2 linked regions of the Rattus norvegicus genome follow. The protein of the gene in region 1 interacts with the protein of each later gene in a biochemical or structural test. Links are inferred from orthologs where the notes say so. Each region holds a gene or a part of one and is shown in the gene's direction. Other genes may lie near its edges.

The links.
Region 2: the proteins of Lyn (region 1) and Faslg form a complex in vitro, tested with the Homo sapiens proteins (2 studies listed by BioGRID, with this or other methods). The link is inferred for Rattus norvegicus from reciprocal best matches to the Homo sapiens genes LYN and FASLG.

Annotation. Positions count from the first base shown.
Region 1 is NC_086023.1:21,504,182-21,519,106, forward strand, and holds part of Lyn (tyrosine-protein kinase Lyn), read left to right. Parts: intron 1-2,207; coding exon 2,208-2,253; intron 2,254-2,967; coding exon 2,968-3,073; intron 3,074-5,066; coding exon 5,067-5,165; intron 5,166-5,270; coding exon 5,271-5,374; intron 5,375-6,524; coding exon 6,525-6,674; intron 6,675-8,297; coding exon 8,298-8,450; intron 8,451-14,925. UniProt on the Homo sapiens protein: Non-receptor tyrosine-protein kinase that transmits signals from cell surface receptors and plays an important role in the regulation of innate and adaptive immune responses, hematopoiesis, responses to growth factors and cytokines, integrin signaling, but also responses to DNA damage and genotoxic agents.
Region 2 is NC_086031.1:76,688,095-76,703,532, reverse strand, and holds Faslg (tumor necrosis factor ligand superfamily member 6), read left to right. Parts: upstream 1-8,029; 5' UTR 8,030-8,102; coding exon 8,103-8,441; intron 8,442-9,127; coding exon 9,128-9,173; intron 9,174-13,119; coding exon 13,120-13,176; intron 13,177-14,182; coding exon 14,183-14,577; 3' UTR 14,578-15,290; downstream 15,291-15,438. UniProt on the Homo sapiens protein: Cytokine that binds to TNFRSF6/FAS, a receptor that transduces the apoptotic signal into cells. Involved in cytotoxic T-cell-mediated apoptosis, natural killer cell-mediated apoptosis and in T-cell development.

The DNA of each region.
Region 1 (14,925 bases):
TTCTGAATAGATACATTATCAATATATCGGATAAAGTTGCATATAGAGGTCTTGCAGAGGGCCCACATGTCAGATCACAGCCCTCTGTAGCTCCACTTCCAGGGCATTTGACACCTCTTCTGGACTCTGCCATGCACACACATGGTGCACAGATATCTGTGCAGGTGCAATACCTATCCTTATAAAAATAAATACATTTGAAAAAAAAAAGGTTAGAAAGCATATCCACCCAAATGTAGAAGATTGTTAAGAGTACTAGTAATTTGGTGATGATGAATATATATCAATATAAAATTTAAAATCACTTTATAAATATGGATATAGAGTTATATCCTTAGACAAACGTGATTAATAGAAATGTTAGAGCAAAGAAAAGGCAAAAGGTAGTTTTCTTGTGCACTTCAAATTCCTCATTAAAAGTTCTGTTTCTTGTAGCAAATTCTATAGCTTTTTATGTGCTTTAAAACCTGAAGAGTTCTTTGTTTTGTTTTTTTCTTTGTTTGCTTGGATCTGTTGTGTTTTTCGTTTGGTTTGGTTTTTCGTTTGTCCATTTTGGGATTTTTGTTTTTGTTTGTTTGTCCAAGTGTTATTTATTTAGGAAAGCAAAGGAGGCTAGTTTAAAAAAAAAAACTCAAACATTCAATGTAAAAAAGATTACACATAGATTGAAAAGCAATAGTGAACATGTTTAAAATCTTTCAGTTGCTCACCATAAAAAAATTAGTTCAGGTCTTCTGTGGTCATAGATGTTCCCCATGGACTTCTTAGCTTGGCTTCATCCTATGACCATAAACAAGACTCTCGGTCTTTGCCACATGTGAAAAACACATGCTCCCACTGGATCACAAAGGGCTCTGCAAGGAGGTAAAGTGGAACTGCTCAAGAAAGAGCTAGAGTGATAGCATGGGGCGTCACATGTATGTGTCTTACGAAAGTGCTTTAAGATGGGCTGGAGTCCTGCGGTGCACACATCTCAGGACCAGCCTAGCCAGCCATATAAAAATGTGCTCTGCTGTATTGTAAACTAACCTCTCTGGTATTTGCAGATCAGCTTGCTGCTTTCAAAATTATTTAATCTCTCACCTAATTGTTTTCTCTAAATCATATAAAACAGAATGCAGTTCTTAATTATGCAACTTACATGACTAAAACAGCAGTATAAAACTGCTTTAAGTCTTGAATGTCAGTATGGACCAATGATTGCCCGCTTCTCCAGTCCTTTCGCTCAGTGTATTTGATTGAGATTTTATGGGCTCGCTTTCAGGAGAAATTTATATTTTAGTATAAACCACTTTGGTCAGTCACCTTTGATGAAATGACTACTCGAGGAGAAGCAGAGGGATGAGATGTTTAAAATCAGGGCCCAGGCAGGATGTCCTTAGAGGAGGTCACCAGGCCTTACATAACCCCTAGCAGTGCTCTTTGTGGAAAGGCTTCGGAATAGAAGGTACCTGGTGTGAAACACCCTGCTGCTGCCATAACTGAGGGATACCCCTGGACGCTGGACAGACAGCCAGACAAGAAAGCCTGAGTCGGTCGGGCTTGTGTTTGTCTGTTAGTGACAGGTCTGATCAAATGTGTAAGTAAGTTCAGGAAGCATGGAGATGAGCAAGTGACGATGTCTGTAAGTCAGCAGGGTCCTGTCACTTCTGTGTTTGGTCGTACTGGCCCTACTTACTATGTACCTTCCATAACTGCTGTGCCTCCAACATTTAGTTCTTTCTAGGCATTAAGAGGCACATTTTACCAAGGCCATACCCAACCAGTGAGCTTATGAAATGCTCCTCCCCACCACTGTGTAGAGGGCTGTGAGTCTAGAAGCAGACATCACACTGGGCAAACTGCCACCCCAATTATTAGGGTCCTGTTAAAAGCATGAGAAACAATCCTGGTGGGTTGTCATCTAGTCCCCATCTCAGGAAGCCCTATCCACTCGGTCTACTGACACAAACCAAGGGTTATATGTCCACGAAAAGCCATGAAACTGACTTGCAGGTAGGACCCTGCCAAAGACGTCATCGAGTGTGAGAGTCTAACTAGGAGCCCTGGCATCTCCCTATAGGATTTTTCTGTTTGGCTCTTCTTTCTCGTTTAGTGGCTGCAAATCTAAACCTCGCTTGTCACTGTTAGGAAAATGGCATGCATGTGAGAAGAAAAAAGAAAAACTATCATGACTTTTTTTTCCTCTAACAAATACTCTTCCGTAGGTTCCTGAATCTCAACTTTTACCAGGACAGAGATTTCAAGCAAAAGGTATGTTTTCCTTTCAACCTTATTCATGTTTTGTTTGTCGTTATGGGAAAATATATGTAACTCAAATTTATCACAGCTTCAGTGGTTTTTTTTTTTTCTTAATGTCGAGCTCAGAACAGGAAGTACGCATTGCTGTGCAAGTGTCACCAGTGTCCGTCACAGAAGGTTTTCATTATTCCGAGTGGAACACTGTCATTAAGCACTCACTCATTGTTCTCCACTCCCTTCTGCTCTGGGCAGCCACCATTGCACTCTCTGTCCCTATGGACTTGATTCTATGTAGCACAAGCAACTGGAAATATAGTCTTTGTCATTTCCTGCCTGGCTCGTTTGACTTGGTCGTCAAGGCTCATCTACACTCCATTGTGTGTAAGAACTTCAATGCTTTTTAAGGCTGACTGCTCTGTGTATGTGGATGTCCTATTCTGTGTATGTGTCACACTTTATGCATTCCACTAGTGCTCACTAGGGTAGCTTCTGCCTTTGGGGACTATGGCAGTGTTGCCACGATTACGCGTACATTTTTTCCTAAACATGGTTTTAAAGGTATAGTGGGTTCCTGTGGGTCTTGGTGTGCACAGGATGTACCTCATGCCATTTACAGGTGGGAAGCACGGAGCTTCACTCCACGGCCCTCTCTCCGTTGCTTCCTCTCTTCCTTTGTGTCTATGTTGCTAGGTTTTGAAGGGCTCTGCTTGTATCTTTTGTTCTTAGATCCAGAGGAGCAAGGGGACATTGTGGTGGCCTTGTATCCCTATGATGGCATCCACCCAGACGACTTGTCTTTCAAGAAAGGAGAAAAGATGAAAGTTCTGGAAGAGTAAGTATGCCAGCCCCCCAGTTGCTTCAGTGCCAGAAGGAACAGAGCAAAAAGAACTTCCCTTATGAATGTAGGGGTGAGCCCTTCCATCGTTTCTCCCAACAAGGACAGTTACTGTTTCTTTATTTGTCAAAATGCTACCTAAGAAGTTTGGCTCTGTGACATGCTACTTAAGACGGCCATTGTAGAGTTTGGGAGAGAGCTCAGTCATATCCTGAGTTAGTTCAGCACTTGCTTGTGGTGGCATATGGTCGGGGAGGTGGGACAGGCGCATCCCTGAAGGCTCTCTGGCCAGCCAGTCTAATTTGTCTGGCAAGTTCCAGGCCTGTGAAAAAAACCTATAGCTATACCTAATCTATACCTATTCCTATCTCTATACATACCTATACCTATTTTTAATACCTATACCTATCTATATCTACCTATAGCATCTGAGGAATGCCTATGAGGCATCTTCTGACAGGAGCACATATGTACATATGTAATGCATACCTACAAACACAAGTACACATTCATGAACATGTATACATACCACACACACACACACACATAATGCCCATCATAATCCCGTGACTTAGATAGGGTCATCTCCATTTTGAAAGTTAAGGTTCCCAGGAATAGACTAAGTGACTCTTCATGGTCTCAGAACTATCACAAGAAAGGGCCACGTTGAAATGCAAGTTCACCCTGATGCCCTGGATAGGCACTTAGCGCTTTATCTTCGGGGAGGGGCTATCCACTCTCTCGCTCTGTGGCAGGTCAGGGTCAGGGTGCTGCTTTATGCAAATTCAGTACAGAAAGGAAGTTAGACCTAAAGTGCTCAGACTTCCTTGTTCTCCCTCCTCACTGCCCTGGGGCCTGACCAGGGTCACGCGTGTGAGTCAACACACAGGGGTCAAGGAAACGAAACACATAAGCAGCTGCAGGGAATCAGTGAGGAAGCTGAGCCGGACTTTCCAGTGTGGCCGTGGCACCCCATCCTTAGAAATCGCACCACGTGGCCCATGAGCCCCATCTATGCTAAATAACCACCTTCCGTACTTCAAACCATCTCTGGACAACTTCTCCTGTCTAACACAATGTGGTTGTGATTGTTGTAGAAATAACCTTATGCTGCACTTGAATGGAGAATAATAAGAACCATAGATATAAAAGTTTTAGGTCCCGAGAAGGTTGCTCAGTGAGAGAGAGCTTGCCTAGCATATGCAAGGTCCTAGGTTCGATACCCCTACATGTCAAAAAAAAAAAAAATCCAACCTAAATACTTTAAATCTACAGTTTGCTCTGTTTGAAGGGGTAGCGTACGCAGGCTGCCTGTGGTTTGGATAAACAGTTCCCAGGTACAGCTCAGAGTTGGCTATGACTCTCTTTTCTCACAGACAAGAGTCTGATCTGTATGCAGGCATTTGAAGAGTAACATGGAGGCTTTCAAGGACCAATCACATACCCCCACCCATCTGGTTTGCTTGCTCCTTCTGGGCATGGCCCTTCCTGCTTCTCCTTCCTGCCACACTTTGGGTTAGTATAGCATTGTGCAGTACCACGTGAGGAGGCTTACTTCCTCTTAATTACTCTTGGTCTGTTTATTTATTTACTTTTTTATTTTTCTTTATTCATGGTGCCTATCTCTGGATAAAGTAGATAAAGTTTATAGCACATGAATTTTAAGTCTCTATTCCTTCCACACCCATTGCTATAAGGATCCTTTCAGACATTTCTTAGGCACCGGGGTAAGTGAGAAGTGTTTGGCGTCTTTAAGGTTGGCCATTTTGCTAGTTCTTTTCTATGCTGCACTGCAGGCCACATTGAAGTTGTAAGGATGCTTTTTTTTTTTTTTTTTGCTCCTATCACTAAATATATTTTTCTATGAAAAGGAATGCACTTTTCCCTTGGGTTCAGGGATTCTAGGAATGCTCCCTCTTGCCTTCACTCTGCAAAAGAAATGCCATAGGACCGTTGCCATTGCGACCATTAATTTTGATTTCTATTCCAGGCACGGGGAGTGGTGGAAAGCTAAGTCCCTTTCATCAAAGAGAGAAGGCTTCATCCCCAGCAACTACGTGGCCAAGGTCAACACCTTAGAAACCGAAGAGTGAGTCCTCTCGCACAGCCAGCTGGTGTTTCCGAACACGGCGCTGGTTTGCTTACATTTGTATCCCTGCCCAAACACCTATGAAATGTGAATATGTCTTCACAGGTGGTTCTTCAAGGACATAACAAGGAAAGATGCAGAACGACAGCTTCTGGCACCAGGGAACAGTGCCGGGGCTTTCCTGATCAGAGAAAGTGAAACTTTAAAGGGTGAGTACGTGGTTAGAGACCATAGAGACTTCTTAGGGCTTTGGGCAGTCTCCTTAGATGTAGCTCACAGGGCATCGTGCATGCTGGGTAAACATTCTGCCATCAAGCTACAGCCATACACACTGGAAATCATTTGAAAAAAATGATTCTGGAATGAATAAAATAAAGAATTCAGTAGGTTCTGGGAATGAAGGGGTGACTTTTGGGTTGGGTTGGGTTTGGATTTGGTTTTTCTTCAGTTTTGAGACAGAGTCTCCCTTTGTAGCCCTTGGCTTACCTGTAGCTTAATAGGTAGACCAGTCACTAGGTAGACTAGGCAGGCTGCCCTCAAATTCAGAAATCCCCCTTAAGTGCTGGGATTAAAAGCTTGTGCCACCACACTTAGATGGTTTAATTTTGAGGTTGTTGTTGTTGTTGTTGTCGTCGTCGTTGTTGTTATTTTTATGTGTGCACATGTATGTGTACATGTTATGTGTGCACATGTATGTGTACACGTGCGTGTGCCTGTCTGGCACAGTGCATACGTGGAGGTTGGAAGGCATCCTTGAGAATTAGTTCTCTCCCTCCATCCCAGGTTCAAGGGATTGGATTCAAGTCGCTTACACAGAAAGCTCTTTCTACCTGCCTAGCTAGCCATCGTGCAAACCGCTGACAGTAAAGTTTTGCATTTTGATAGCAAATGACAAACTCAAATGATAGACATTAATAAACAGAAAACAGTCTTAATTATGGCCAGGTCGTACTTACAGTTTTGTTGTGTTATTATGAAAGTGAGTCCTAAGTGTCAAGAGGAAACTCAAAACGATTTTTCTATTCAGTCAAATGACTTTGGAAAACCACGGTGAAGAAGGAAAGTGATATACTGGCTGCTTGTCTAGCAAACACAATGCTATTGTCATTGATCGAGTCCAAATTTTAAAGTACCTTTAATTTTCCCTTTTGAGGCCTTTGCTAGCCTGGAACTGGCCAAGATTCTCCTGCCTCTGCCTCCCAAGTGTTTGGATGAAAATCATCCCTGCACCCGGCTGCAGGACTTTCCTGTGATGCGTTTATATTTGTAATTTCGTTATAAAGTGTGTACCACAGTGCGGTATAACGTGGCCTTTATTAGTAACATGTAAGCACGCCTTCGCTTAACTTTTCCCCACAGGAAGCTTCTCTCTTTCCGTCAGAGATTACGACCCTATGCATGGCGACGTCATTAAGCACTACAAAATCAGAAGCCTGGACAATGGTGGTTATTACATCTCTCCGAGGATCACTTTTCCCTGTATCAGTGACATGATTAAGCATTACCAAAGTAAGTGAAAGCCGAAGGCCAGGAGAAGTTAGATCGTCTTTATGACGATTAATATAAAGTTTATAGTTTTTCTTTCCGTTGATGCGGCAGGTAGTACTCTATGAGCAGTTTTTCCTTAACATAGACACCCCTTGACTTCCAGTGGTCATGTGTTCTCATGCATCTGTTGTGAGCTGGCGTAAGTTGAAAGTACGTTTCACTCGCCTTGTCTTCTTATCACCCCGGCTTACTCGGTGAATGTACTCAGCTTCTTACGCGTCCCTACAGTTGGACAGAGTCTTTCACCCTCATAACCTCCATGCGCTATTGGCTGGAGATGAACACAGGCTGACTGTATAGGCGCGATTTCACACCGTGGTAAATAGAGAACATTGGGCAAGTAAGTGGGGGCTGTCACCACATTCACAGAGAGATTGCTGTGGGGCCTTCTTGCTTATTGTCAGTTACTTAACATCTAGTGCGTTTCCCTTCCTGTGGAGAAAAGTATATATTATTTTTACACAAGGCATACTCTTAACGTGTGTAGATATTCAAAAGACAAGCTGTACAGATTCATGTCTCTGAGTGTAATGCAAAAGGACTGTGTGCCCATCCTTCCTTCCATCATAGGTTCTAGGGATTGGACTCAAGTCGCTTACCCAGAAAGCTCTTTTACCTGCCTAGCCATCATGCAAACCCTCTGACAGTAAAGTTTTGCATTTCGGGAACTATGGCATATTTAAAAGTAGAAAGTCAATGCTTCGTGTCCGGTACCAGTGTCTGCCTTGTGAAGCTCACCTCTGTGGCCTTACTAAGTCCACTCATTTTGGCTGACATCAGATGTGGGAGCCGCTGTAGTGGGTTCCTCCTGCCTGCTTTAAGAGGCTCTATGACAAAACTCACTCACTGAGGGTCTACTTATGCTGGCGGTGTTAATGAATGAAACAAAATGTTTCAAATTGTCTTCCGATAATTTTTAAGGTTGGATTAGGCAAAAGGTATCCCCATTTGCATTTTAGATGGTGTCAGGTTGTATTTATAAAAATAACAGCGTATTCAAGATTTCCTACATAGACACAAAAAAGACCGTACCATATTGGTTCTGCATCAGAGATTTGGCCAGCCAAGAATCTTTAAATGTGTCTGTACTGAATGTGTACCCATGATTTTCTTGTCATTTCCCTAAACAATGTGGGTTACAACATGGTGTTCACATTGTATTTGGTAATATAAGTAATATAAGAATAATTTAAATAAGATAGATAGATAGATAGATAGATAGATATAGATATAGATATAGATATAGATATAGATATAGATATAGATATAGATATAGATGTAGATGTAGATGTAGATGTAGATGTAGATGTAGATATAGATATATGGAACTTTGTTATTTGAATTTAAGGGGACCCTGGCACCCATCTGCCATGGTTACAAACTCTATTGCTTAGATTACTGTTTCTCTTTCTCTTTCTTTCTCCTTTCCCTTCTTCCTTTTACATTTGCTGTGTGTGTATGTTGGGGAATCCAGGATTGAGCCTAGGTTGGTAAGACTTGATTGACAGCAAGCTTTCTCACTTACTGAGGCATCTCTGCAGCCCGGCACACATCCCTTAACCTTTGTTCTTCCTCTCACCTCAGAGCAGTCTGATGGTCTATGCAGAAGACTGGAGAAGGCATGCATCAGTCCCAAACCACAGAAGCCATGGGATAAAGATGCTTGGGAGATCCCCCGGGAGTCCATTAAGCTGGTGAAAAAACTCGGCGCAGGGCAGTTCGGGGAAGTCTGGATGGGTGAGTGTTCAACAGTGTCCCACTCTGGAGGGGATGATGAAGGTTTCTAACCTCTGCCAGCCACTGAGCCAAGCACGGGGCCACTCCGAAGCCTCATTTCTTGCTTTCCTCTCTGTCTTGGGCCAAATTCTGTCTGCTTAGATGCTCGCTCAATGCAGACAGATGTGGGACTCAATGATTCCTTTATCTTTTCCAGGTTAGGAACATGGATGCTTGCCCAAATCCTCTCTCCTCTTGCAGCCATCTTTCATTCTCTCACTCTGGGCAAACACTTGAAGTCTCAACTCAGTGACAGCTACACTCAGGCTTAGGACCTTTTTTGTTTCTTTAAATAATTTTTGAGATAATTGGCATCCACACGATTGTGTGAAAAAGCACAGAAGGAGCTGGAGAGATGGCTCAGAGGTGAAAGAGCCCTGGTTGCTCTTCTAGGAGACCTGGATCAATTCCTGGCATCACAGGGCAACTCTCTGATGTCAGTGACTGCAGTTCCAGGGCATCTGATGCCCTTTTTCTGCTCTCCTTGGGTACCAGCCATGTGCTTGTGTATTGATATACACAAACACTCAGACACATAAAATAACATTTTGAAAAGAAAGAAATGCCAAGTCAAAGCAAAATAGCAGTAACATTAAGAAACAAGTTCAACTGAGGGAGGGGGGGAGTGAGTGAGTACGTGCCATAAAAGCCTGAACAGGAACGTTTGTGACAGCATTACTCATAATATCATAATAGCAGGGAAGTGGTCTAGAACCTCAACGTTTATGAGAATAAAGCAGGAAAATTTTAAGTTTGGAGCCAGCCTGGGCTGCATGGCAAAAACTGTCTCAGAAACAAAAGTATAAGCAACCTGAATCTTTACCAAAAATGTAATGTACAAGCAAACATTGTTATAGTCACAGAATAGAAGGAGCTGGTGCACACGTACCATGGACAACCCCTTGGAAAGAGCTGGTCATGGGGGCATCGTTCTGTGTGCCCATAGAATATGAAGAGCCCAGAACAGGCAAAGCCACAGAGATTGAAAGTGGGTGCCCGGTTGCTGAGGGATTGATCTTTGAGAGTTAATGGAAATGTTTCAAAGTAGCTTATGGTAGTAACCTCACGACTATGACGAGCTGTGTGCCTGAAATGGACAAAGAGCCTGACATGTGAGTTCTGTTTCAACGACGCAGGCATGATGTGAAATAAACAATATAGTGAGCTTCTAGGCACCATTTAACCAGTCCCCCACAGTAATGTGTCTCAAAATTCTAGCAAAATATTACTACTAAAACAGTGACATCAATAGTGTCACTTACTCAACATTCATTCATTCATTCACTCATTCATTCATTCATCTGTGAGACAGTCTTGCTCCATATCCCCCTGTCTTATCCAGACCTCACTCCTGAGCTTGAACTCATATCGATCCCCCTGCCTAGGTCTCCTGGGTGCCAGGAGCCATCGTTCACCCAGTTGTTTATAAGTTTTCTTTTCAAGGAAGGGAGGGAATGAGAGGAAAAGGCAGGAAGGAAGAACAAGAAACAGAAAACATGGCCGAATCTGAGTTTGACTGTTGGTTAGGCATCTCCTTAGCACCTGGAAGATGTCACCCTGCTGAACTTTAGCAGGTAGCACTGGGAGTAAAGCCAAAAGGACAGTGAGTGACTGTGGGTGCTGCGTGTCAGAGTCAGTGGTGCCTGTGCCTCACTCCCGCGTGTGTGCACATCCATCCACCCATCCGAGCCTCCTCTCACAGAGAGACTGTAACACTGCCCAGGTTTCGTTGCTTTGCTTTGTTTTTTAAAGATTTTTTTTTTTATTGTTTAGGTGTATGGATGTTTCCTTACATGTATGTCTGTGAAACATTTGAATGTCTGGTACTTAGGAAGGTCAGAAGGGGGCATTGGATTCCCCACCCCAGCAGGAGTTACAGATGGTGGTGAACTACGATGTCAGGGCTGAGTATAGAACCCGCATCCTCTGGGAGAGCAACAAGTGCTCTTAACTACTGAGCCATCTCTCCAGTCCCGAGATTTAGTTTTTAATCCTCAAGGAACACGGGAACTACTTTTTCACATACAAAACAAAATCCAGCCAGTTAAAGTTATATCATCGTTGTAAGTGAGTAAATTATAATATCCATTAATCACGATGTGTTATTCACAGACTGCCTCTCACAATATAAGGACTGAAACACAGGGAAGAGGTCCTCAGATGTGACCTGCCCTTTGCAGGAAGAAGGCCTTTGGGATGAAAGCGAAAGTTGTCTCTGCGTCAAGCTGTTTCCTCCCATTTGTGCAATGCTAGCGTCTGCTGTGGGTGCCTTGCTTCCTCTGTGTATTGTTAACATTCCCAGAGATCTGACTGGACAGGGACGACGGGGAGGATGTGACTTCTTAAAGCTTGCTCTCTGGAAGGCTTTATTTTAAGGAATGAACATTTTTGAGTTTTGTTTGATTCAGTCTTTCGTTGGTTGGTTTTCTGAGACAGGATCTCACTATGTAGGTCCTGGAACTCACTATGCAGGCCACACTGATCTTGAACTCAGAACTCTGCCTGCCTTTGCCTTGAAAGCGCTGGGATTAAAGGCACACACCACCACTGCCTGGCTGTCCCCCACCCCCCTCTTTTTAGATTGATTTGTTTTTACTTCTTGTTTTTGAGTGCTTACCTGTGTGTATGTACGCTCACTGTGAACATGCCAGGAAAGGGCTTCTGTCCCCTGGAGTTACAGACGGTTATGAACTGCCACGTGAGCTGAGAATCGACCCTTTGCCTCTAGGAGAACAGCCAGTGCTCTTACCCTCTGAATCATCTCTCAATCCAATATATTCTTATTTAGAAGCAATTTAGTTAAAACTAATAATCAGCCAACTTCCCACATCAATTATATGCTTTTCTTAAAGGTAACTCTCCATCCTTTTGGTGGGTCTGCTGGTGTTCCAAAGCTGCGGACACAGATGTTAAGTCACGGCTGAATCCAAATTCCTTATCAGCATTTTCAATGTCTTTAGCAGCTGCGCTCTTTCCTGGCAACCTTTTGCTCTGCCTCTGGAAAGCATATTTTTCATCATTTCAAAGGATGTGAACGTTTCCAGGCTCCATTGTTCTCGGGTTGATGAGTGGGAGTGACTTTGTTTCTTTAACTTTGATTCTAGGGGATGTAGCATGTCCACAGAAAAGCTACAGCACGAATAGTAACAAGTATTTACAAAGTTCACAGAAAAAAAAAAAACTTGTCAGACCCTAAAGTTCCTCTTGTCCCTTCTCTATCCCAGCCTTACCTACCCCCAGGGACAGCTGCTACTCTGACCTTTGTCATAATTTCCTGACTTAAACCCACGGATTCTGGAAGTGGTGCTTATGCGTGCAGGCCAAGTCTTTCTATACATAGTTTAGTGCAAGGTCTTTTGTATATAGTTTGACTACTTTTATGTGTGGTACAGCATGTATCAAACAGACTACTCCAGCTTTGTCTGGGCTTAATATTAATGGGTCACACTGAATATATTCTTGAATTTCTTCTCTTTTATTAGACATTTTTAATGAATTCATCCATGTCTTGGGATGTCATAACAGTTAGTGCATATTTGTTGCTGTGTGTGTGTGTGTGTGTGTGTGTGTGTGTGTGTGTGTGTGTGTGTGTGTGCAACAGATATAGAATTTTCTTCTTTTTTTTCAACATTCACTGGTAAAATCAGAGTTACTCCTAAGTTGTGGCTACTGTGAATATTGCTTTGATTGTGGTTTTGGTGGTGCATGAATATTTTTTCTAGGAGTAATGGATTTGCTGGGTCATAAAGTACAGTCAGGCCTCTATGTCTCTGGAGTCAACCTGTGTTAGGTGGAAAATATTTGGGGAGAGGGTTACACTTATGATACAGGGTTTTCTGTTCATTTCTTTCTTTATACCTAAGCAATATAGTCTAACGACTATGTACGTAGCATTTGCGTTCACTAGGTATCTTAAGTTACCTAGAGGTGATTAAAGTATCCATGAAAATGTGCACAAGTTGGAAACAAGTACTGTGTCATTTTATGTGAAAGATATCCTTGGATTTTTATGTGCTCCAGGATCGTAGATCAATCACCTATGGACTGTATAGATAGACCAATCTCTATGGATTATATAAGAAAGACCATGGATGAATCATTGCCCTATTAATACTGTCAACAGGTCTCGGTTTCACCTGTTCATAGCAATACACAATATACCTTCTCCGGAACAGTGGACCTGTGCCTACAGCATGGCTCCAGAGCAGCACCGCCTGTGTGGTGACTCAGAAGGCTGCTGTCATCAACTTTTGTAGGCCCTTTGGGATTTCATCACAACGCTTTGTCATTAACATTCAGGGGTGCTCAAAAAAAATAGCCAAGGCAGGGACTGAGGGAGCAGCCATAGCGGCCCTCGAACCCCAGCATTTACCTACAGTCATCAACACACTTTTTGATTTCTGTCAGCCGGGCTGGTTTGGAGAGTTTCTTCTGCGTTTCTCTGATTACTAATACAATCAAATTCCTTTGGTTCATCTGAGCCATTGTAATCTCTCCTTTTGAGAATGTGCATCCGAGCGTTTACCTCTGCCTCTGGAAAGCATATAAAAGCTACTTAAAACTGATTTGTAGCAATTACAGATTCGAGATACTAGTCCCTTGTCGGCTGTATAAGTCATGGAAAATCTCGTGCTCTGCCCCTCCGTCTCTGTGTGTGCGTGGGGGTGGGGCGTGTCAGATATTGATACTGGGTGTCTTCCTCATTTGCTCTCCACCTCATTTATTGAGCCAGGGGAATTACTGCTCCTTAACCTAGTCAGACTCACTGGCCAGTGAGCTCGAGGAATCCTATCTCTGCCCCATCAGCACTGAAGTCACAGGGTTATGCCTAGCTTTTAAATGGGCGCTGGGCATCCAAACTCCAGGCTTCGTGCTTGCAGAGTAATCACCGCTAACTCCCTCCCTATTCCAAGAGTGCATTTTCTTATGTTTTTCTATCAGTATGCTCGTAGAACTGAGGGCTTGTCTATAAATTAAAAATACCATAATGGAATTTGTGATTGAGTGTAATTTATTTTTTATAGGTCTATTCACTTCATTTCAAGCATGAATGTCTAACCTGCATGTGTGTATGTGTAGTGCTGTGTGCAGGCTTTATGCTCCAGAGATCCTGAGAGGGCACTGGATCCCCCTGGAACTTGAGTGGATTGTTACTTGTGAGCTTTATGTGGGTGCTGGGAATCAAACTTGGGTCCTGTGCACGAACAACAGGTATTCATTACCTCTGCACACTTCCAATATGATTTAAAAGACTAATGGATGGGATCCATTTTACAATTGCTCTCAATGCAAATAAAGAGACACCATGTTCACCTTTGAAAGACAAGTGAATGTAATTTACTCAGCACTCTCTGATGTTTAAGAGGTAGCTTCTGCTTCCCTTTCTATCGCTGTCTTCGGTTTGCTTAAAGCTTATTTCTAACACGTTCTTCGCATTTCTCCTCCATGGTCTTACTTACACTTGTCAATCTTACTACACTATAAAGCATCACAGAGTATTATATTAAAAAAAGGAATTATTTTGATAGAGATCAGCCTCTGCCTCCTCTCTCCCCCTCTTCCTCTCCTCCTCCTTTCTTTGCAAGGCTGGGGATGGAGGGCATCAGGCACTCTACCACTGAGCTACACCCCCACCCAGAGAACTCGTTCTCAACGGCCAGAAGAAAATCACTGGCTACAGGCACTCCTAGAAATCAATGCTTTCTTGGTCTGCTTATTTCGAAAATACTTTAAAAATAACAATAATACTTCCTTCTGTGAAAAATAGGCATAATCATTGTTGATTTTAATAAAAACAGAAAAGATAAGAAACAAGTAGAAGCCACCCCAAATGCTGTCACCCAGAGCCACTGTCATGTGAGCCTGCTGCCTGCCACAGCTGACTTACTAGCCTGCGAAGGGGCCTGTCCACTCCCAAGCCATTGTCTGAAGGTGGCTGCAAAGGTCTGTCACAGCAGGTGACACACTAGCAGATCTTTAGGGTGCTACCAGCCGAACATCCCTCCTCAACTTTATTTTTCAAGAGACCTATGGAAACAGACGGAGAAAGGGGAATTTTGATTATTATTTTTTTTCTGCTTTGCCAAATTACCGGAAAAGAAAAAAGGACTTCCTTAAAAAAATACAGGCATTTCATTGAAGCAGTTTCCAAAATAGTGAGACCTTTAAAAGCTACATTAAAGAGTTGGCATTTCTCAAGGGTTTCCACGAGCCAGCGTTCCTGAAGGTGTGGGAAAGACCACTGAAGAAATCCAGGTTTCTTGCCCAAAGAGTGCCAGGAGAGGTAGCCAGGTGTGATACCTGCCTTCAGCATGGGCACTCGCCAGAGACCAGGCCTCTGAAAACCTTGGAAAATATTTCTTTGACCCTAGGGTATTATACTTTCAAGTGTGTATATAAGCAGCTTTTACAGGTCTACAGGAGGTCTTCCTGACCG
Region 2 (15,438 bases), on another chromosome or scaffold:
GCCTCATCTTTTGTCCTCCTTGATCCTCTTTTCCTTTCATCCACTTCATCATCTCACCCTTTACTTATCCTCTACCTCAACATGGAACCATAGTCTTTGGAGACAGCAGGAATCTCAGAGACCTTTTGTACAGTTCTGTGCCCGGAACCTTGTTGAACCACAACATCTCTGGTCCTTGGCATGTGTGAGACAGGGACTACTCAGAGGAACTCATTCTCTGTGTGCCATTCTTTGATGATTACGACAGTGGAGACCCAGTGTCAGAAGCTGTATTTCTCCAAGCCCTCAAGTAACTCAGTCTAGTGGAGCTGCCTTTGCGGTCTGGTTATATAGCTCTATTCGTAGAGTTTGCACAACCCAACAGTAAGTGGTAAGTTGTTTGACCTCAGCCAAGGGCTAAGAATTGATCTCAGGAAGCCCTTGGTGAGGATTTCCTGTGAACCATCTGTAAGAGATGACAGATTCTAAAATCCCACACCTTGAAACATTCCCCAGGAAGATGCTTGAATTTAGAAAGGAGAAGGGAGTTCCAGTTACTTGGGGGGTGGAGTGTGAGACCGTGGGGCCTTTGAAGTAGAATGTACTGGAGGAGGTGGTTCACTGTGGGGCACAGCTTTCATAACCTTGCTCAACTTTCTTGTCTATTCTGTGTTTTTCTGACCACAAATGTAATGTGACCAACTACTGTCACCTCTGCCAGGATGGACTGTATCTGACTTTAAGCCCCAAACAAACAAAACCGAAATCCTTCTCTTAGGTTGCTTCTGGTCAGGTGTTTACTAACAGTAAAAAAAGTAAGCAACACTTGGGGAGCTTTACTTTCGAAGGCACCCTGAGAGGATGTGAGACGCTGCAGGGACGAGAAGACAGGCATGAGAAGAAGATGAAGTCAATGGGTGTAATGAGGTCTACTACAAAGCCCTGAATTCATATTCAAGTCCAACCATCTCATGGGTTCTTTAACTTCCCTGAATCATTTGCCAAGTGGGGATCATTATACTTACCTGAGAAGTCCCTTCGAGAATCAAATAAAGTTGCTTGATATTGTTCCTAGAAAACTTGGTGTGTGGTAGGCACTGAATAAATGCCTCTTTCTTTCCACTTTTCCTCTCAATCTAGTCCAAAAGAACACTGCATTCATATTTGCTCATGAAAACCATAAATGGTCAGGAGAAGTGGAGAGAGAGGGAGGATGACATTAGAGGCACTCCCAGTTCCTTAAGACCCCGGGGCTGTCCTGCCTGCCCTTGCAGCGTTCATGGTGTCTTAGGTATCCTAGATGCTGAACACATACGTGGCTGAACTTGAGCAGAGACCAGCTGCTGGGTGTTTTCATTTACAGACATTTCTGATTTTGTGGAAAAGCACTAGGAGACAGGCCAGGTTTTCTTGCTGATTTTTTCCCTTTCTGCCTGTGGGATCTTGGAATCTTGGGGGAACCCTCTTATGTTTCTGAAGCCCAGTGACTGTCTTTGTGAAATAAGGGGCAAGGCAAGAAGAGAAAACTCGGCAGGTAGAACCCACCTACTATAGTACTCTGACTTTGGACTTCTGGTCTACCAAACTGGGAGGAAATGTGTTTCTATTGTTTAAGTCACCAAGTCTATGTTTTATCCAAAACAGAAGCAGTGGCAATAATTTTCAAATTTGGCTCCTGGGAGGGATCTTATTCATAAAATAACCAACTACTAAAGCAGGCTCTAATTTCCCTATTTTTCCAAGGTCTGTGACAGACAGCAAGTAAACCTGTGACAGAAAAATTGCGTGCTTACAAGTGATTTCTCATGAGATTACCTTAAGGTTGGGAAGCTCTTGAAGCATCCAGCTGCATGCCCTACACAATATCTGCAAAGTACTCAGAGGAAACAGTGGGTGCCAGATGCAACGACCTTGACATTTAAGTCAGCCTCTGGTGAGTATACTTCCCACAAACCCATCGTGACATGTGTTTTTCTTTTTTTCTAATGTAGAAGTTCAAACATCAAAAACAGTCCCATAGAAAGGTGCCTCAAAATAGGTAATAGAGCACAGGTATGCCATCCCAACACCTGGGAGGTGGATGTGTAGGAACTGGGAGTTCAGAGTTACTGTTGACTACATATGCAGTGAGTTTGAGGCCAGTCTGGAGTACATGACACACTGTCTCAAAAATACGTGCCCACGAGACGCACATATTTCCAGTCTTACTAGATACTTATGAGGTGTGCCTCATACCCCGCCTCACTTCCTCTATAGGTACTAGACCCTTCACCCTTGAGAGGCACTTGAAAACACTGCTTATGAGCTAGTTTTAAATATTCTTATGATCATTCTCACATTAGGCCCTCTCTGGGCTATCATTTTGGCTCAACTGTGAACTTATGGTGTGACTGAAGCCTAGATACCTCAGGGCTGTGGAAGTAAAGAAGTTCAAATAAATATAGAGTTCATATTTTACCCTAAGGTCAATGAGAAGCCACTGATATTGAAATGGTGCCGCGAAAAGATATTAAAATTACAAAGTAGCATAGAATCATATGAACCAACTTAGTGAAAGGAAGGAAAAGTCAGTGTCTTCAGGCTTCCACAGGAGAGCTACCAAGCAACTCCTAACATCTGGGCACGTAGAGTACATAGCATTCCTGGCTGATGTCCTGTTCCTGACCTGGGACTCTCTTGCTTTCACCAATCAGCCAAGGATCTACTTATGAATTCAGTGATGGCGAATTAAGTAGATACAAAGCACAACATACAATTTGTTAATACTCAGGAGCATCTCCACCCTTCCACTCCCCCCACCCCCACCCCTGCCTCCAGGAGAGTAGGGCCAGAGATGACAACCATCATTCCCATTCTCCATTACAAGTAGGATACTAAGTAGAGTTCACTGGGAAGTGACAACTGAGTGAGGGTTAGAAGGTGGGAAGGAGAAGCTGCTGCCCTTGACAGTAGCTCCTAGAGGACAGCTAAATATAGCAGAGGCCACTGTGGGTGTTTTTCTACATTCTTGGGGCCCCCTAACCATCACCAGACTCAATGCTGTTAGGAGCTGGAAGTTTTGGTTGTATCCCTTAAACGTTTTAAAAGTTGGCCTTCATAACCTTAAAAACAAAACAAAACAAAGCAAAACACTTAGCCTTTCATTATATTAAGTCTTCCATTGCTCCTCATAGTTTGAGTAACTTTCATTTCCCCGACCAGCCCTGACTGATATCCATGAGCTGCAGAAGGAAGAAAGCAAATAGTTCTGAGAAAACAACAATACTGTCGCATGTGTTATCAAGGGTTGAAGAATAATTTCTACCCATCACTACTGTCATCACGGCCCGACCACAGCCCTCTTCAGTCTGGTGTGATAAGAAACACGTTACACTTACCACACCCTCTTTCTTTTGAGGAGTGAACCTATCCAATTTAAAGTAAGGCAAGGTCTAGACATTCACCTACTAAGTTGCAGTAAACAGTGTTTTCTGACTAGTAGATTTTCCTGAACCAATTGGATCACGTCGGTGGAAGTAAAGAGGGATAGCAAACAGTAACAGAAAGAAAGAGTGCAAGTCGTTGGGAAACAATGCCCTTGGCTTGAATGCGTCCTGTTTCTGTCACCAGGATTCCCTCATTTCCCTGGCTCACCTATGAAGAGAATATGTTAATATGTTAATACGTCATTCTTAACAATGACAATGATACACTTCCTTGTCCAGCACTTCTCTCAGGTTGTTTCAATTGTAGTTACTAGTCTGTGGGATGTTTTTCAAACATGAGTGTTTTCTCTGCTAACACATGTGGGAGATTAAAAATACGCAAATAGGGTTTTTTTTTTTTTTCAGAGCAAAGAGAAAGATTTTGCCTAACGGACTGTCAAAACAGTCAAGACATCTCTAAAGTTGCTGGACATGATGGTGAGCATCTGTTATTCCAGAATTTAAGAAAAGGGGGTAGGGGGATTGCTACAAGTAGGAGGCCAGCCTGGGTATATACTGAGTTGGGAGTCAGCTTGGGTACATAGAGACACTCTGTCTCTATAAAGGGGAAAGAAATCCACATCTATAATGCCATGATGAGGGCTGCATAATTTTTTTTTAGGTCATTAAACTTTTATTTTTTTTATTAACTTGAGTATTTCTTATATACATTTCGAGTGTTATTTCCTTTCCCGGTTTCCGGGCAAACATTCCCCTCCCCCCTCCCCTTCCTTATGGGTGTTCCCCTCCCAACCCTCCCCCCATTGCCGCCCTCCCCTCAACAGTCTAGTTCACTGGGGGTTCAGTCTTAGCAGGATCTGGGACTGATTTTTAAGGGGAGTCTGAGTTGGGATTTTCCTGCCTCTGAGGTTCCTGACACAGAGAGGAAGGTGTGGCTGCATAATTTTCTTACCAGGAAAGATGGACGGATAGATCAAACAAAAATGAGAGGTATAAGATGTCATCAGTGGAACCATGGTAACTATGCCACAGTGGTTCAGTAGAAGAAACGAGGGAGGGATGGGCTTGAGGAAATCAGTTCATACATAGTACAAGGTGTGCACTTCCGAAACTTCTCTTTCTTATTTTTAAGTATGTATGTGCATGTGTGTCTTACGTGTGGGCATGTGCTTGTGAATGCAGCTGCCTGTGCCTGGGAGGCCAGAAGGGGGCACTGTGCACTGTGGAGCTGTAGGTAGCTGTGAGCTGCCTATGATGAGTTGGGACTGAAGTCAGGTCCCCTGCAAAAAAAGGACATGGTCTTAACCGCTGAGCCATCCTTCTGGCTCCTGGTTTGAATTGTAGAAGTCTCCTTAGAGCTCAAGCATCCAAGGCATGCTCTCCAATATAAGAGGGCTTCTAGGAACCTGGTAATTAGATCCTTAAGATTCTGATCTCATGAACTGACTAATCTACATATGCCTAATAGGTTTGCGGGGAGGAGCTTTGTTATAAAAGCAAGCCCAGTGCTGGTTAGCTACCATGAGGTGATCAGCTCTGCTCTACAATAAACCCCTCCTATGATGTTCACCCATGCCACCAACCATGCACTGAACCCCCTGATGTCATGGGCAAAATCAATCTTTCTGTCTTCTAAACAGGTTTCTCTCAGTTCTTCTGTCATACACATAGAAACGGAAACCTAAAGAGAGACTCCAGACTCATAAGCAAAAGTGAGGTCGGGATCTTTTAAAACCCACACGTGAAGTCTGTATGGGTATGGGAGAAGACATTGCAATGTCTAAAGGCAACCGTGTGTGTGTGTGTGTGTGTGTGTGTGTGTGTGTGTGTGTGTGTGTAGTATAAGAAGATCCTGAAAATCAGAATGGAGGGGGTGTGAGGTTTGAATAGGTTTGGCCCCTGTAGATTCATGTGTTTAAATGCTTGGCCACAGGGAATGGCACTATTAGGCGATGTGACCTTTATTAGAGGAGGTATGGCCTTGTTGGTGAAAGTGAATTACTGGGCTTTGAGGTCTCCTATGTTCAGGCTTTACCCAATGCTCCTCCTGGCTGCCTTCAGATCAAGATGTAGAACTCTCGGCTCCTCCAGCACCATGTCTGCCTGCACGCTGCCATGCTTCCTGTCATGATGATAATGGGCTGCACCTTTAAAACTGTAAGCCAGCCCCAGTGAAATGTGTGGCTGAGTAAGAGTTGCCTTGGTCATGGTGTCTCTTCACAGCAATGAAACCCTAACTAAGACAAGAAGGTAAACACCTTTTAAGTGGCAAACAGAAAAATACACTCGACAGGAAAGTAGATTGCCCCAGAAATATATGACTGATATTCAAACTCACAAGAAACAAGTGAGAAAGCAGCTCATAGACAGTGAGGTTCTCTTTGTAGGTATAATGCTGGCAGAAATCGGAAAGGTGGGTAGCATTTTACAAAGCAGAGATAAAAGCAGAGGCTAGGATGGTCCTTCATTAGCTGCTAGAGGTTTTAAGGGACTCAACTGAGCATCCCTGGAGGTACTCAGAGAAGTTGAACTAGTGGGCTCTCGTTCATAAATTCACAAACCCAAACTTGGGATGTGCTGTGTGGTCTTTGCTCACGTTTGAGAAGTTCCTGTCTGAGCTGTCTGTCTGCTTGGCAGATTGCCTCAAAGGGCTTCCCTAGGCTCATTAAGGTAAATAGCAGATTTCCTGGCTCTGTGTCACCCTCTGCTGCTCCTGAGTCACCCCTGGAGCTCTGGCCTGTAGTCTATCGAGCCAACTTTAAGGCTAATTCCCTGGAGTCGTAGGAGTAGGAGGCTGCAAGGACTCGATTTGAGGTTCCAGAAAGTAGAGGCCACCAGCCTGTTGGCTCTTGCACTCCATTTGCCTTCAGCAGCTACAGAGCTACGTTCTACTTAGAATGGCGATTTCTTTTCATTAACAAGGTCTCAGTACCAATGCAATGGCTCCCCGAGTCTGTTCACAGGGGTGTTTATTCTTTCTCAGTCTTGCCACTTACAGAACGGCACTACCAAACGCCAACCGAGTTTCCACAAGTTTCTCTCTTGTCTCTTTCAGCTAGGACTCTCTCCCTGGGATTGGTGGACTCTAGTAGGGGTTGGATATTTCGAATCCTCTATGGAAAAAAAATGATTCAAAAGAGGGACAAAGAGATGTGGAAAGACAATAACTGAAGATGCGATAACTGAATAAGGCTGGGAGCTGAGGTAGAAAAGCCAGGAGAGACTAATCTGATACCAGGAGAGCAGCTGTGGGAATAATGAAGGAGGGGAAGATGAGAAATGTGTCGCAGGTGAGAAAAAGCAGGTCTGGCTGGCCGGGGGCAAAAGGAAAGAGCAGCCTGAGCTTGCCAGCAGCAGAGTGACTCAGGAGAATTAGCAGCTGGGGCGGATCAGGATGAAGGTAGCAGAGATATAACACTTTGGGAGTTTTTCAGCATAGGCGAGAGAGGTAAGGTGCTCATCCCAGACATCCCAACGCAGAAGATAAAAACTAAAACCTCTTAAAGAGTAGAGTTGCCCCCCCCCCAAAAAAAAGGTGGAGTATAGGAACTTACTGGGATTTGTATGGTTTATATGGGGAAGTGATGGGAACCAAGGCTGAGTTCTTAGAGGTTGTTAGGCATACATAAATGCTGTGTATGTGGGGCCAGAAGACTGAAATCAAACCTAGGGAGTGGTCAGTTTTTAGAAAGGCATAAATTTGCTGTAAATGTTGAGTAATGCTCAGTCTGTCCTGTGCGATGCTTAAGGTACACTTGCTATAGAAAAGAATTATTTACCGCTTACCCAAACTCTTCTGAATTAGGCACTTCAAGTTTCATTTGGTAACCAGAATAGGGATTGTGAAGTTAAATGATTACAGAGTAGGAAGGGGAAGTGGGATAGGAGGCAGGCGCAGTGGGGGCAGGGCTGCCTGGTGTTCAGAGATGGCCAGGGGATGTGTCCTACTCTTCTGTTTCCAAAGAGAATAGAAGTACGCATTTTTATTGCGTGCGATCTCAATTTTGAAAGAGGGCAACTAAGGGAACCAAAAACATTGGTGATAGGAAAGCAATCCTGTGGTACCAAGGATATATGGGCCTGGTGGTGGTTTGTAACCTCTGATCCAATCTGTGGAATGGGTGGGGCGACTTTTACCCTCTCAACTATGAAATGGGGGCTCGGTAGAGGGAAGGACAGCAATTGAGGATTAAATTCCCTGTGCTCGGATTGTAGAGATCGCTTCCCTAGCCAAACGCCTTGGTCTTTTCCCAGTGCCTTAGCACCAACAGCCCTCACAGGACACACCCCATAGCACAGGTCTTGCAGCTGTGGAATAGCTAATGTCCTCTAGGGGTATCCAGCGCTGATTTGCTGAGTGGGACCTCAGGCAGGTAAGCCTGGTTTACCAGTGAGCACAGAGATGCCAATTGGAACTTCGAAGAGTTTTCGTCAGAAATTTGTGGGCGGAAACTTCCTGGGGTTGCTGTGAGCTTTTTTTTTTCTTTTAAGGCTTCTCAGCTTCAGATGCAAATGAGTGGGTGTCTCACGGAGAAGCAAAGAGAAGAGAACTGGAGAGAGGTGTTTCCCTTGACTGTGGAAACTTTATAAAGAAAACTCACTTACCTTCTCTGGAGCAGTCAGCATCAGAGTCCTGTCCTTGACACTTCAGTCTCCACAAGACTGAGAGGAGGAAACCCTTTCCTGGGGCTGGGTGCCATGCAGCAGCCCGTGAATTACCCATGTCCCCAGATCTACTGGGTAGACAGCAGTGCCACTTCTCCTTGGGCTCCTCCAGGGTCAGTTTTTTCTTGTCCATCCTCTGGGCCTAGAGGGCCAGGACAAAGGAGACCACCGCCTCCACCACCACCTCCATCACCACTACCACCGCCTTCCCAACCACCCCCGCTGCCTCCACTAAGCCCTCTAAAGAAGAAGGACAACATAGAGCTGTGGCTACCGGTGATATTTTTCATGGTGCTGGTGGCTCTGGTTGGAATGGGGTTAGGAATGTATCAACTCTTTCATCTACAGAAGGAACTGGCAGAACTCCGTGAGGTAAGTCTAGCACATGGGTTAATAGGCCCTTGAGTTCCTGGACTCTGCTGTGTGGGAGTAGGGACTTGCTATGGCCCATGTGGGCCACTGTGTTGTTTGCAATGATTTGAGGTTTTTGCTGTTGTTTTGTTTTGAATGGCAAAGATCTTATTGATCCCCTCGCTTTTAGAAAAGAGTTGTTATAGTCTCTTCTTTCTAGTTGGAGAAGCAGGCGTTCACTCCCTCAAAGAGAGTGATCCTCACTCAACCTGTGGGTCATGACCCCTTAGTGGGGGAGCCATTTTATGGCTGGGGGTCACCACAACATGAGGAACTGTATTAAAGAGCTGCGGTGTTCCCTTGAGAACCACTGCTCAAAGGAAGTTATTTTCCACCTTCTAGACAATTCGAAGCAAATAATTATTCTTCTCTCACTTGTCAATGGTGTTTGATGAACTTTTTATTGCTTCATATTTAGTGATTCAAGGAAGAAGATAAACTTTAAATCTTGTTCAGAAGTGTAAATAAATCTCTTTGAAAAGACTTAGAAGCCTTACTATAACTCTAGATACAATTGCATGGCCAAACTCTAACTCAGTCAGGGTCTGACATATTTGAGTCCTCTTTCTATGGACTGCTGTGACTTCTGCCTCCTTGGCTTAAATAACTCCACATTTATTCTATGACTCTTTTTTCCCCCCCACTAGTTCACCAACCACAGCCTTAGAGTATCATCTTTTGAAAAGCAAATAGGTAAGTACTTTTATGTCTGTCTTTTGAGTTCCCGGAGGAACTCAACACTCAACAAAGTTGTGAGGATGCTTGAGATTCCGTCCCATTCTTGGGCTCATGATTCCTAGGCACAAAATCCTGAGGAACTTTTAACTCTTTGTTCAGTGTGAAAAGGTAGTTTACTGCTCAATATCAGTGTATCTGAATGAATATCGAACGTAACTCAATAGAATTTGGACTTGACTGGAAAGGAGCACACATACAGCCCTGGATCTTTTCCCTTGGCTCCTTCCATGGATATCTTGGTCCCATCTTACATTGTGGTGACTGTGACTCCTAAGGACAGAGGCAAAAATACTAGATGCACAATATTAGACCAATTAGGTTCAATGCCCAGCTTCCCTGGTATGAAACTGGGGCTAAGAGAACAGTCCCCTGACGCCTTGCTATCTATTAAGACTTTACAACGCACAGAGAAACTCCCACCTTTCAATAACGGCTGAGAAATGAGAAGCAAATGCAAAGCTGGTGTCTCTTGCAAGGGCAACACAACAGTTTTATCCTAATAACTGAAGAAAACCGAACCTTCCATCAAAAGGAGTGCTGGCTCCACACTCAGTGCGGCTTGGTCTTCATGTGGGTCCCTCAACAACTGGAGTGGGGGCTGTCCCTGAATCTGTTGCCTTCCTGTGGATCCCACTCCCCTAACTGGGCTGCCATGTCTGGCCTCAGTGGGAGAGGATGTGCCTAATCCTGAGTGACTTGATGTGCCAGAGTGGATTGATATCGGGGGGGGGGGGATGGGGGTGGGGGTCGCTCCCGCTTCTCAAAGGAGAAGAGGAGGGGTAGGAGGAGGGACTGTGTGAGGGAGGATGGGGGAGTGGCTGCAACCCGGATGTAAAGTGAATAAATAAATTAATTAATGGAAAGGAAGGAAGGAAAGAAAGAAGGAAGAAAGAAAGGGAGGAAGGGAGAGGGAGACGGAGAGGGAGAGAGAGAGGGAGAGAGAGAGACAGACAGAGAGAGACAGGAAGGAAGGAAGGAAGGAAGGAAGGAAGGAAGGAAGGAAGGAAGGGGATATAAGCTCTTTCAGGGGTCACTATGGTGTGCTCTGGTTTTCAGCTCTGCATTCAAGTCTCTAAGGACCAGAGCCCAGTTTACACAGGCACAGTGGAAAATGACTTGTTAGAAAAATGAAACTTCTCAGGATTTCTGAAATGAAATCATTTTGAAAATCAGTGGAGCGTGGCTTATGAAACAGATGGCACTCACTCATTTTCACCCACTCGATGGAATCATTTTAGTGAAGAGAAGTCAAATGAACAGATGAGTCAGGTCGCCTACCCAGTGGTTATCTTCAGAAATTGATAAACCATCACAAGAACGTCAAAAATTGAAACTTTACTATTAAGAGGAGCTTATTTAAAAAAAGGAGTATTTATTTCTTCAATCAAATTCATAAAAAGAAAAAAACCCCAAAGATTATCAAATGAGAGAGAGAGAGAGAGAGAGAGAGAGAGAGAGAGAGAGAGAGAGGAAAAGCCACGTTTGGCACAAGTTTCATCCAGCATGCATGGAGATTGCTGTAAGAATTCTGAAGAACACTAAGAAAGTTCATACCGAGGTCTTGAACTGTCAGTCTACCTTGTCATCGCATCACCGAAGGGTTCTTTTGGCTGGGAGTGTTCATCGCTTTCTGATAAAACGACAACCGTTTGGAAGAAACCGAACTCTCAGAGTAGAAGATGAGTTGAATACACTTCGGCACATCAATAGGGGAACATCACGAACAGCAACCCAAACCACCTTGTGAGACTTTTAATGCCATGAATAGCATATTCTTCATACTGTTAGGTAAACAGACAAGTTATCAAAGGCCATTTTCAGTTTAATACTCATTATGAAAGTATGCATGCATGTTTTTAAACTTCTAAGAAAATACTTTTTCTAAACATTTTTTTTCTTGTGTGTTTACATACACAAGCACACATGTATAACTTGTGGGAATAAGTTCTCTCCTTCTCCCTGTGGGTTCCAGGGATCACACTCAGGAGCTCCGACTCGGCAGCAAGTGCCTTTTCTCACGCAGCAGCCATCTTTTTATACTGTTACCTTCCCCGTGGTTAGCTAACTGGACATCTTATGTATCTACAAGGTTTTTAGAGAGCCTCCTATGACAGAGGCTGAGTCTTGGTGATTGAGGATGAGAGAGAAAGACGGATGCCTTTTCTCAGCAAGCACAGTAGAGAAGAGGAACAAACACGAACCAACAATACAATTCCAATCCGTACTAAGAAGGATGCAGAGTAGAGCGGTCTGGGAAAGTCCTTTATAGAGTGGTTTGTGCTGATGCACAAGGGATCAATCAGACCCCTCTTCTCTTGGAGGGAAGAGGTGTGCATGGTCAGGGAGCAGAGAGGACATTCCACATTTCACATGTAAGGAGCCTGAGGCAGGAAAAGTCTTTCCTTGTATTTCTGGATATTGCTAGAACCTCTCCGGCAGATATTTATGGGAGTATATTTTATGAAAGTAACATTATACTAGATTGTATGAAGAATTTAAAGATAAGCAGCGTGTGGTTCCCAGCTTCATTTCCTGTTAGTGTGTGGCAGGTTAGCTGTTCAGGTGGTTTGTGGTGTATAAAAGGTCTAGTCTTGCCTATCCTGTTCCTCCCTTTTTTTCAAGGGGGGCTGGTTCTAGGTGCTAGAGAGGACACAGTTGTTTCTATGATGATCTAAATAGACCGGGCTATTTTCACACTCAGTGTGTGTTTCATAGTCTACTTCCAAACCTGAGGTGGACAAGTACCTTCCTATAAATATTTTTTAATGTATCAGTTAGCTGAATTCATGAAGCCCAGTACGAGAGTTCTACCTTAGCTGAAGTATTTGAAGTTAGAGAAATAGTGTTCATTTTTAAGAATATTATAAATTTTAATTACATCAATTTAATTTACTAATGCTATGCTAAACAAGGCTAAATGCTCTTGTGACTTTACCATATTGTAAAATACCAGTAGGGAAAGACTTGGTGGCCAGGCTCTCAAAGCCTAGCAGTGTTAGTACTAGTTTAGTCATAAAGTGTTTATTGCAGAAAGGTGCAGTTTTCCTCGACAAGAAGGAAGGAAAGACAAGTTTTTTATAATTGCCTCAGTAAGGAGAAGCCAGAAGTATTAAGAAAGGAAAAAACAGAGGGATTTTTGGTTTCGAAGGTTGAACGGTCATAGTTGACAAAAGAGCAGTGAAGATCGTCATTAGAGAATTGACGGGAATTTAACCCTGAGATCTCATCTGGAGGGTGTTGCAGACAGAATGAGCAAAGGCCCAGGGGCAGGGAAGAAAGGACATAATCAGGTCACAGGACTCCTGCTGTGGGCAAGCACTGGGTGTGATGACGGAAGGGAAGTGAGGCAAAGGCAACCTGGACAACCTCATGATCTGTGAGGAGGTCTTAATAGAGTCCATGTGGGGATAGATGTAGGCTGATGGTCCGGAGGGGAATCAGTAGTGTTTTCTAGACTCGTATCAGTCAGCAGAATCAGGGGATACAGAACCCCAGATTAACAGCCTGGGTGCACATTGATTGCCTCCATCATTATAGTCAGTCAGCTTCTAGGATCTTTTGCCAATCATAATTAGGGCAGTAATCTTAACCTAAAGGGGTCAAGGCAAGCTCTAAATGGAGTGACAGTTAAGCTCTACCTAAGTGTATTCACTGCTTTATTGCAATGCAATTTAGGCATATATCTGCCTTTCCCCTATCTTGTCTTTTTAAACAGTTTTTGAAATACAGACTCCTGTGAGTCTCCCAGTTTAGATTTTCTCGGTGAGTGTGTACTAGAATATTTCATCTTAGGCTCTGAAAATCTTATATTTAAATGATGGGATTTGTAGTCCCATTAAGATAGTAGGTGGTCTCTCTATCACAATAATTTTCACATGTCTTTTATCTCTCTATTATGCAGCCAACCCCAGCACACCCTCTGAAACCAAAAAGCCAAGGAGTGTGGCCCACTTAACAGGTTTGTGTCTGGAAGGAGTGGGTGGGGGACAGGAAGCCTTTGGAAAAATGTGGACCAACTGCTCATTTTCCATTGCAGCTCTTGGAAAGTATGACTGACAACTGTAGTTATCACTCAAGATCGTTCTTTTGTCTCTTGGATCTCATGACCCTAATCTGACAAAACCCACTGCTATGGAATTGTGTATGATTTGATCTTGCCCATGCAAAGCATATACTCCTTTTAACCATTTCAAAGTCCGCGGGGGGGGGGGGGACTTGTGATGTAGATCCAATGGGAGCAGCAGACGGTGAAATGATGATCTATTTCGAGCAAGAGGAGACAGTCTTGGCATTTGTGGGCTTTCAGCCTAAGATTATAAAGTGAAAAAGTGGTTTAGTACAATTGCTATGAGCCCCTCCACTAGGAAAATAAACATCCAAAATGTGGGTAAATATCACAATAAGAGGTCTAGCATGGCTCTTGTAATCACTTGGAGACTTTAGAGAAGTCTGGGTCTATAAACACTTATTGAGTACTTGCTGTGTGTTGGTCCATTTAATCCTGTATGAATACAAAGGAAGGGGATTAATCCAAAAGAAGAGGCCAAGGAATCCATACTAAATGAATGGACTACATAATCATGAGACTTTGTCCAGATGTAGAGCTCCAGAGATCCCTTTCTTTATGGAGGGGTCCCTAAGCCCGGAAGTATTGGTACTAGTTTAGGTCATAAAGTGTTTATTACAAAGTACTGAAGTTATCCTAATAATCTTCCCCGAGTTTCACTTGAGGCACACACCGAATTTGTCCTAAACACATGGATGATTAAAATGAGGTGGGGAATTTGACAAATGTGTTGAAGAAACTCAGCGGTGGACCATGTTTTAACTCCTAAGTCACTCGCATCAGCTGTCATTCTGGTTAGAACTTTTGTTAAGGGAGGCCCCACAGTTTTGCCTTGGAAGCTTAGAGTGTCAGATATGTGAACATTTCTGGCTGAATGCTCCTCTCTGGTTTATTACAGGGAACCCCCGCTCAAGGTCCATCCCTCTGGAATGGGAAGACACATATGGAACTGCTTTGATCTCTGGAGTGAAGTATAAGAAAGGCGGCCTTGTGATCAATGAGGCTGGGTTGTACTTCGTATATTCCAAAGTATACTTCCGGGGTCAGTCTTGCAACAGCCAGCCCCTAAGCCACAAGGTCTATATGAGGAACTTTAAGTATCCTGGGGATCTGGTGCTAATGGAGGAGAAGAAGTTGAATTACTGCACTACTGGCCAGATATGGGCCCACAGCAGCTACCTAGGGGCAGTATTTAATCTTACCGTTGCTGACCATTTATATGTCAACATATCTCAACTCTCTCTGATCAATTTTGAGGAATCTAAGACCTTTTTTGGCTTATATAAGCTTTAAAGGAAAAAGCATTTTAGAATGATCTATTATTCTTTATCATGGATGCCAGGAATATTGTCTTCAATGAGAGTCTTCTTAAGACCAATTGAGCCACAAAGACCACAAGGTCCAACAGGTCAGCTACCCTTCATTTTCTAGAGGTCCATGGAGTGGTCCTTAATGCCTGCATCATGAGCCAGATGGGAAGAAGACTGTTCCTGAGGAACATAAAGTTTTGGGCTGCTGTGTGGCAATGCAGAGGCAAAGAGAAGGAACTGTCTGATGTTAAATGGCCAAGAGCATTTTAGCCATTGAAGAAAAAAAAAACCTTTAAACTCACCTTCCAGGGTGGGTCTACTTGCTACCTCACAGGAGGCCGTCTTTTAGACACATGATTGTGGTATGACTATACAAGGGTGAGAAAGGATGCTAGGTTTCATGGATAAGCTAGAGACTGAAAAAAGCCAGTGTCCCATTGGCATCATCTTTATTTTTAACTGATGTTTTCTGAGCCCACCTTTGATGCTAACAGAGAAATAAGAGGGGTGTTTGAGGCACAAGTCATTCTCTACATAGCATGTGTACCTCCAGTGCAATGATGTCTGTGTGTGTTTTTATGTATGAGAGTAGAGCGATTCTAAAGAGTCACATGAGTACAACGCGTACATTACGGAGTACATATTAGAAACGTATGTGTTACATTTGATGCTAGAATATCTGAATGTTTCTTGCTAATAAACTCTAATAGTCTTCAAAACCCTTTTATTATCAGCTACTGATGCTGTTTTCCTTTAATACACTAGTATTTATGTTCTGTGTATCTTAATGAAGAAAAGACAAATAAAATTATGTTATAGAATATAGAGATGCATTAAGGACACA